Linked DNA regions of Cricetulus griseus. The protein of the gene in region 1 binds, or shares a complex with, the protein of each later gene. Links are inferred from orthologs where the notes say so. Each region holds a gene or a part of one and is shown in the gene's direction. Other genes may lie near its edges.

Region 1 (4,060 bases):
ATATGCCTGTTCCCATTTCTTGATTCTATAGCATGAAGTAAGAATGGACTTAATGAGAGAAAAATGTTTATAGAAAAGCCATGCTAACACAAACTGTCTCTTAGCTGATCCAGGTCCAAAGAGTTTGAGTATAATAATAATTTTTTAAAGTATATAAGATAATTCAAAATACTAGACAGCTGTCATATTCTCTGTAGCTTTCCTAAATATCCCCAATACTTCAAGGCTAATGAAAGTTTAGAGCATAATTCTGCTTACCTGCTCTGTTAACTGGCCCTATTTAAAGCTATTTAAATAGCTTTAATTTAGAAGTAACTTTGCTATATTGTACCAGTTGCTTTATTATGAGCAGTATTTAAAGTTGAAGCCTAATATTTAATAAAACTGAAAATTGGCATTTTTTGAAATTATGTTGATGCTAACTCCCTTGCATCCTGGTTATTATTATTTTTTAACATTGGATATTGTGTTTTGTCAATAGTATGGGGATTATTTTTTAAGTCAAGCTTCACATATGTACTTTTTGTGTGTATCACAAAATATTTTCAGGTTCTTTTCTACCTAAATTAACAGCACCCAGTTAGCAATGAACACCTAAATATTAACTCCAACAGACAAATTGTCCTGCTTAAAGCTATGAGACATTTAAAGGAGCCCTTCCTGTGTGCTTAGGGGTCACGTGCTTGTCCAGAGGCTTGAGATCTTTAACAGCTCGAAACTCTTGAAGCATAGCTGATAGAAAACTTCTCACTGCCTTAGCTCCTAAAGCAAGTGGCAATTTAAAATGCAATGGGTGTTTGCAGTGCTCTGCTGAGGTTTTCATTTGTAACATAGGTTTTCGAAGTATGTTAAAGTATGAGCTCCTAGTAAGATTGATGCTTTATACTGATAATCTTTCCATTCTTCATTAGAAGTATTGCAGTCATAGTCTTTCATAAATTTTTAATTTTTAAAAATTGAGAGTACATGAATATAATTTATTTTCTTTTTACCTTGTGGTATTCTTGTTCTGACAGTAAGCCTATTTTCCTCAGACTTTTAGCTGAGAAATTACTGTTTTATTCACGTACGTTGGTACAGATTCCCCAGTATTCTGTTAATTTATATAGAAACAGGGTCTTGTGTACAAATGTGTTTGTGGAGAGAAATGTCTAGGGATAAGACGTGTATGGGGCAGGCATCACTACAGCCCTCCACCCACTGATAACGTCTTCTTTTCCAGTTCTGGCAGGTGATCTGTAAGACAGTGACTGAGTATGGATCATTTGAACGAGGCAACTCAGGGGAAAGAGCATTCAGAAATGTCTAACAATGTGAGTGATCCGAAGGGTCCACCAGCCAAGATTGCCCGCCTGGAGCAGAACGGAAGCCCACTAGGAAGAGGAAGGCTTGGGAGCACAGGTGCAAAGATGCAGGGAGTGCCTTTAAAACACTCGGGCCATCTGATGAAAGCCAACCTTAGGAAAGGTAAATACTTAGCAGCCAAATCCTGGAAAGCTGCTTGGTGTCTGCCCAAGGCCACCCTATGTGGAGGTGTGGGACTGGAACATGCTGTGTATATTCTTTTTCTAGATCTCTTTCTGATGTGAAATTAAGTGATGTTCTGGGCTGTAGTGTCAATCATGTCTTAAAAGCGTGAGTGCTGGTTTTGAGTGGTGCCTCTTTTGACCCAAGACTGGAATATTGGAATATTTGAATAGTCTTCGTTTACACAGGTCCCTTCGTAGACACTGGTGCAGTTACAGATGTGCAGGTGGCTGCTGCTTGAACTTTGGCTGGTGAAGAGTAAAACTCAGAGGTTCTTAAGCATCATCGTAGTTTTTTTTTTTTTTTTTTTTTTTTTTTTTTTTTTTTTTTTTTTCCTGCGATTACTAACTGGAAGGGGATTTCAGGACATGGATCTGACATGAGATCAAAGATTTGTGATGCAATTTATTGTGGTTTATTTTCTGTAGAGCAAAGTAATATTTAACAGTGAAAAACTTGCTGATTGTAGTTGTTAATTTTTGCTATCCTTGAGTATTTTTGGTAAAGGAAAGGAAAATTTAGGCAAGTTTATAAAGGGGAAAATATAAACAAGTGATTTTCTACCAAAATTAAATTGATGGAGTTTTAACAACTTTGCCTGTGTTGGGCTTTGTTGTCCCCACAGGGCAGTTACTATGTGGGGTATCCCGTATGCCTCACAAGGGTCTTTATTTTGTGATTGAATAACACATAGGAGTCAGATTTTTTGGGTTTTGCTAAGCAAAGAATAAAAATGCCATCTTTTACCAACCACGAATATTAAGTAGAGAAAGTTAGGAGGCCGAGGAATTTCATTGTGTTTGATGCATAACATTTATCATACATACAATCATTTATTTTTTCCTTGGTTTGGCGAAAACAAAGAATATATTGATCCTGAAATAAACAGACACAGCAGTCCGTATTGTTAGATCTTTATCTATTAAAAATGGAAAAACAGCACTTCAGCAAATTCTTTGGCCTCTACTCATGATTACCCTATTTATTGATTGTTTGCCAAGAATGTATGCATCTTTAAGCCAGGGCAAGAGCATTAAAAATATAATTTATTATGGCTTTTCAAACAGAGTGCATTAATATTGTACTGTGTAGCACTGAGGCTCTATAAAAAAGACTTTCTGACGCCTGCAAACACAAGTTCCATAAATTCCTAAATAGGAGATTTCAGCTGTCTCTGGTATTATGTGATATTTGCACAGCAAACTTTAATGCCAGGACAGTTTTAGACAAGGATTCTACAGACTCCACTGCTCCTTATGGCAGCCGTGCTGTTTACACAGGCTCATAAACCTCCAGCAAAAGCCTCTAAGACTGCCTTCAGGTTTAAATCATGTGGTATTTTTAGCTTTCAGCAGTGACCAGTACTCTCCCTTTCTAATGCAGGAAGGCTATGAAGTTGCTGTAGTTGGAAGTCTGGCCAAGCACCAGCTCGAATAATCAGGCAGTCCAGCGAAGGCTCCTGTTTAACGTTACTCCCTCTAAGAGGAGGGCCACCGTGACAGTTCTCAGACGACCTAGCACCAGCTTTGTAATTAGATGACCCTGTTGCTACCTTATCTGTAGCCACCTTTATTATCTATAAGGCACCTTTAAATTTGATCAATAAAACACAGAGTCAACCCAGACTGTTTCTGTGGTTTGAAAAGGTTTCAGTTATTTCATAGAGCTGAGGTCTGAAAAGCTCCCTGCTTGAGACCTCTGTTTGATTCCATGAGAGGAAAAACCAATATACATGTTTTTGGCTTGTTAACCCAACTCCATAGATACCAGTAGACAGGGAGAAGGAGCCAGAGCAGGATCATCACATTCCTGCTCAAAACCTTCAAAAAAATGTATTACATTCGAAATTCCAAATCTTAAAAATACAGTTTAATTGTAGAAGGTTCTGAGCTTAATACAAAAAGCAAAAAATTCTAAGCCTTTCAGTAGTTTTTTTTTTTTTCTCTTTAAATCTTATTTTTCATGTGCATGGTTTCTGTTTGACAGGTGCTAGATAAAAATTGTGGCTAAGCTGAGAAAGCACTAAAAAAAGGGGGGGGGCTTGGGTGTTTTTATTTGTTTAAGAGATTTTGCCAAAATACCTTCAAGCCAAGGAAGAAATCACCAGTTTGCATATTGCTATTTTTGCTGCGGTCTCCCCAAGTTCTCTTCTGATCCCTGACGGGTTCTCTCTCTGGTATAAAACAGCTGAATGAATGACAAGAATATTGGCAAGCTCTGCGGCTTGTTTTTCATGCCTAGCCTGCTGGTACTTCCGAATGAGTTTGTGAGCTTTTCTAAGTAAACCTAAAGGGGTTTAATTGTCAGAGCTGGAATCTCTTGTGAACAGTTCACAAAGCTTTGGTGAAGACACACATGTGGAAAGATGTAGCTGGTTTATGGCCGGCTTTTGTTCAGCAGAAACGAGCAAATAGAGAATTTGTAAAGGGTCTCTCTGGCAATAGGAAATGCTGATCCGAAGCCTCGGTCAGAAGTTAGTAGGGATCTGCAAGTCCAGTGTGAGTCCAGGGTATGGAGCCGATACAAGCAGCGA
Region 2 (4,330 bases), on another chromosome or scaffold:
AATCACCTTTCTCTTTTGCTACCCCCTCCCTCAGGCCTTTTTAAGGGATGTGGAATTTAGGCTGTTCCCTCTGCTTTCCCAAAGAGCCAAATTCTTTGAAGCAATCGGAGGGAGCTGTCAGGGGGTTAAGATTGATCGCCTCATCTCCTCTTGGTCCCTCTGACCCACTTATTTAAAAATCTTCCCCCAGATCGACTTTGCATTTTCAGCTTTGAGGCCTAGTTTCCCACCAAATTGCTTGTGGCTCTGAGTTTTGTGTCTCCTCCCTCTAGTAAATTACAACATTCTAAAGTTGAGCCTATCATAATCTTCTCACAATAAAATACATTAAATTTTCCCCTCTGGGGGCCGTAAACAGAATATAATCTCAGTGCTGGTCGTTATTTCTCGTCCCTTCATCTTTAGGGAACTTTTTTAAAAGCAGGGATTAAAAACAATTGCACAAAAGCCAATATGGGAGGGAAAGTCCCTTTGTCCTGAGGGAAAGCGCCCCCCCCCATGTATTGACTTTAGCTTTGAAAGTTATGTGGATGGCTACCTTGTTGCCCTTGGATGTAGCCATAGATACAACCTGAGGACTATGAATGTGTCTGCCATCTTAGACCTTCTTAGACCCTCCCATGGCCAGTGCTGGGGTGTCAGAGTGTGAGTATAGATGACCTCAACAGGAAGGCAGGTGGATGTAAAGGGTTGCCTGTAAATACTGGGCAGAGAAGAGAATCCAGGGCAGCTAACAGGAGAGGGAGACCAGTGCTCCAAAGTGCTCCTGGCACCTGACTGCTTCGTGCCAGCCTGTGCATTTCTTAAGTTTGAACTGCTGCATGTAGAGGGTGGGTGGGACTGGGCTGGTGGTGGTTAGTGTTGCCATTCATCAATCTCCGTTCTGATTTTTCACCTTAATATTGACCTTTCCCCCAAAGAGTGGAAACCTCTTTCTACTCCCACTTCCTCCCGAATGAGCTTTTGCTCTTTTGGGGGGTGGTTGGAAGGGTGAGAAGGTACTGATGACCACATAAAGAAAGCATATTAATTGACTCAATTAAAATCTTTAGACAAGAAGCCCACTTCTCCCTTAAATGTGGTCCTTTGGCAGGTTCCCACCACCACACAGTTTCTGAAGGGGAGGAAGTGGTTCTTCTGGCTTTTCTTGGGGGGAAAAGGAGCAATTGGGGAGAGTGTGGGGCGCTGGTATTGGAATGGGGGTACAGGAGGAAGGCTTATGGTATCCAGGTCGTGGTCCTCTGGAGTTTTTGAATCAATTAAAGCAAATAATGCCTGTGTTTTCCACCAGGCCCAGACGAGCGATTGGCGGAGACCGGTCCCGTGACCATGAATTCCCTGCAATTTCGTCGGAGTCCTGGGTTTAATAGAGAGAGTCCCCATACGCGTGTATTTATCAGCAATATACAATTATAAAGGCCTAAATTTAAAAAAAAGAGAGAGAGAAATCCCCCTCCCCCGCGAAATCGCTTCATTGAATAAACCTGGGGGGGGCGGGAGAGGGGGTCCCTTCCGATCCTCCCTCCTGACGCCCCCCCCAGCAGGCCCCCTCCCCCACCATTGAAAGCCATGAATTTTGAATTTGAGAGGGAGATTGGGTTTATAAACAGCCAGCCATCGCTCGCCGAGTGTCTGACTTCCTTCCCCGCTGTCTTGGAGACATTTCAAACTTCATCAATCAAGGAGTCGACATTAATTCCTCCTCCTCCTCCTCTGGAGCAAACCTACCCCAGCCTCCAGCCCGGCGCCTCCACCCTTCAGAGACCCGGGAGCCAAAAGCAAGCCGAAGATGGGCCTGCTTTGCGGCCACCGCCACCACTCGCCGCCCCCCCAGCCCCCGAGTTCCCCTGGATGAAAGAGAAGAAATCCGCCAAGAAACCCAGCCAATCCGCCGCATCTCCTTCTCCAGCAGCTTCCTCGGTCCGGGTCTCCGGGGTCGGATCACCTTCAGGTGGGTAAGCGTAGTGGGGGCGGGGTGAGGGGCAGCTGGAAGAGAAGGGAAGAAAGTGAGGTGGTGGGGAGCCTGGTGGGTTCCCTGTGTCGATGGATTCTGGGGTTAGAGAAGATTATTCCGCTGGGGTCCAGGCCTAGCCACTGCGAGCACCAACACCACTCCCCCCACCCAGCAGATTTTGGAAGCTGACTGGGAGGGGGTAGGGTGCTTTTTATGTGCTAAAAGAAAATGGTTCGATTGAAGTGTTTCCCCATTATCTGTGTAGAGGAATGAAGCCTTGTGCCTGGGATTGAATATGAAGCCAGGAAAAGATGCGATCCTCCTATTTCTCCCATGCCTAGGAGAACAGGGGAAATTCAAAAGCCAGGAAGGAAAGGGGTGAAGATACCTCTTTCCCGGTTGAGGTGGAAAGTTCCGAATTGAGGGGTCCATTGGGAGGACTGAGGGAGGGAGGCTCTGAGGTTCTGGGAGCGAAAAGGAATTGCTCCCCGCCCCCTAGGTGGCCCGTGGGCGGCTCTGAATGCACCGACCTGACCCCGCCAGGTCTTCCTGCGTGGGAGAGCACAGAAAGAAAGAAAGAAAGAAAGAAAGAAAGAAAGAAAGAAAGAAAGGAAATCTCACCCCCCCCAAAACCAAAGACACAGAGAGGGAACCACTTTGGGGGGTGGGGTGGGAGCCCGAGTAGGAGTGCTGATCATTTATTAGCGAATGGGGTGCTCCTGATCTCAGCTAAAGCCAGGCTGGGTTGAGACCTCTCTGAGGAGCAGGGTGCTTTCTTCGCAGATGGCCCGGGATTGTCGGAGAGCGGCGGCGGCGGCTCGCGCAGGCTGCGCACGGCCTACACCAACACGCAACTGCTGGAGCTGGAGAAGGAGTTCCATTTCAACAAGTATCTGTGCCGGCCGCGACGCGTGGAGATCGCCGCCTTGCTGGACCTCACCGAAAGGCAGGTCAAAGTCTGGTTCCAAAACCGACGCATGAAACATAAGCGGCAGACGCAGCATCGGGAACCTCCGGATGGGGATCCAGGCGGGCCGAGCGCCCCGGACGACTCGGGAGACCCAGCAGAGGAATCCGCAGTCAGCCCAGGCCCTGCCTCCGCCTCTCACCGGCTGCGAGAAGCTTGCTTCCTCCCGGCCGAGGCAGCGCAGGGTCCCCAGGGCGCACCGCCGCCCGCGCCTCCTGCCACTTCCCTGGAGAGTATGGGCGCGCCGAGCCCTGGCTGCACGATGCTCAGAGCCCGAGGCCTGCAGCCAGAGACCCTGCCCGAAGACACCTGTCCTGAGCAGCCGGATTCGCCTTTCCTGCCGGACCTCAACTTCTTCGCTGCAGACTCCTGTCTCCAGATGTCCGGAGGTCTTTCTCCCAGCCTGCAGAGCTCGCTGGACAGCCCCGTCCCCTTTTCCGAGGAAGAGCTAGACTTCTTCACCAGCACGCTCTGTGCCATCGACTTGCAGTTTCCCTAACCTTTTTCTTTCCTCGATCCTTTCCACCTGGTCCTCTTTGGCTGTTGGAGGAAAAAAAAAAAAAAATCGAGCCTTCTCCACCCCTAGTCAAATTTATGTGTTTTGCTAAAATCAGGTGTTAATGAATTAGCGCTTAATCCACTCCCTATCACTTTTTAAAACCACACAGAAAAATTCCACCTTCCAACGAAATCTCAGGAATAATTAAACTCTAGTGGGGGAGGGTTTTCTTAAAAAGAACGAGAGGGACCTATTTTCCTCTTTTTTAAGTTTTAGATGGTAGATTATTTATTAAAATTGTTTAATAATAGGAAAAGGGGAAAGTATTTATTGTACATTATTTTCATAGATTAAATAAATGTCTTTATAATACGAAAACGAGTGTTTGTGTTGGGATCCAGCTCTTTTTCCCAAGTCCCTATGGCCAGTCTTCGCTTTTCCAGGCCTCACTTGAGGTTGGTCTGGCTCGGGCGACCAAGCGGTAGCATGGCCCCTTTTCCCAGGCTGGCGAAGTCCGGGTGGCACAAAAGTGGCCCTGCTTGGTGTCACTTCTCTGTCCACGACACCAGGATGAACGGGTAGTTTAGTGGAAGCTTGGTCACCAAGGCCAGCAGTCGGCCTTTGGCCCTGTTCGGATGTTCCCTGTCTCCCTGCTTGGAAATAAATTTGGGGTGGTGGACAGAAGCAAGAAAATGTCTCAGGGGCCGTCAGCCTCGAGTCCTGGAGTCGGCACGGAGTTAAAGGAATTAAAGGGAATCCTCTGACTTGCTAGCCTTCTGGCTTCAGGTGCAGAAGCCAGGATGCGATGCTGCAAGCCTGGGCCGAGGCCTACGCCCGAGTGCTGCTGGGCTGCAGGTCGCTTAGGACTGGAATCGGGCCTAGGAGTTTGTCCAGAAGTCGGGAGGCTGCT

What was found. The genes of interacting proteins can lie anywhere in the genome.
Region 2: Satb1 (region 1) and Hoxb2 share a complex: the UniProt entries of both Homo sapiens proteins name them as parts of the nuclear protein complex. The link is inferred for Cricetulus griseus from reciprocal best matches to the Homo sapiens genes SATB1 and HOXB2.

Annotation. Positions count from the first base shown.
Region 1 is NW_023276806.1:251,346,076-251,350,135, forward strand, and holds the start of Satb1 (DNA-binding protein SATB1), read left to right. Parts: upstream 1-1,256; coding exon 1,257-1,467; intron 1,468-4,060. UniProt on the Homo sapiens protein: Crucial silencing factor contributing to the initiation of X inactivation mediated by Xist RNA that occurs during embryogenesis and in lymphoma.
Region 2 is NC_048600.1:109,508,645-109,512,974, forward strand, and holds Hoxb2 (homeobox protein Hox-B2), read left to right. Parts: upstream 1-1,532; 5' UTR 1,533-1,569; coding exon 1,570-1,951; exon of another isoform or gene 1,952-1,986; intron 1,987-2,342; exon of another isoform or gene 2,343-2,737; coding exon 2,738-3,420; 3' UTR 3,421-3,801; downstream 3,802-4,330. UniProt on the Homo sapiens protein: Sequence-specific transcription factor which is part of a developmental regulatory system that provides cells with specific positional identities on the anterior-posterior axis.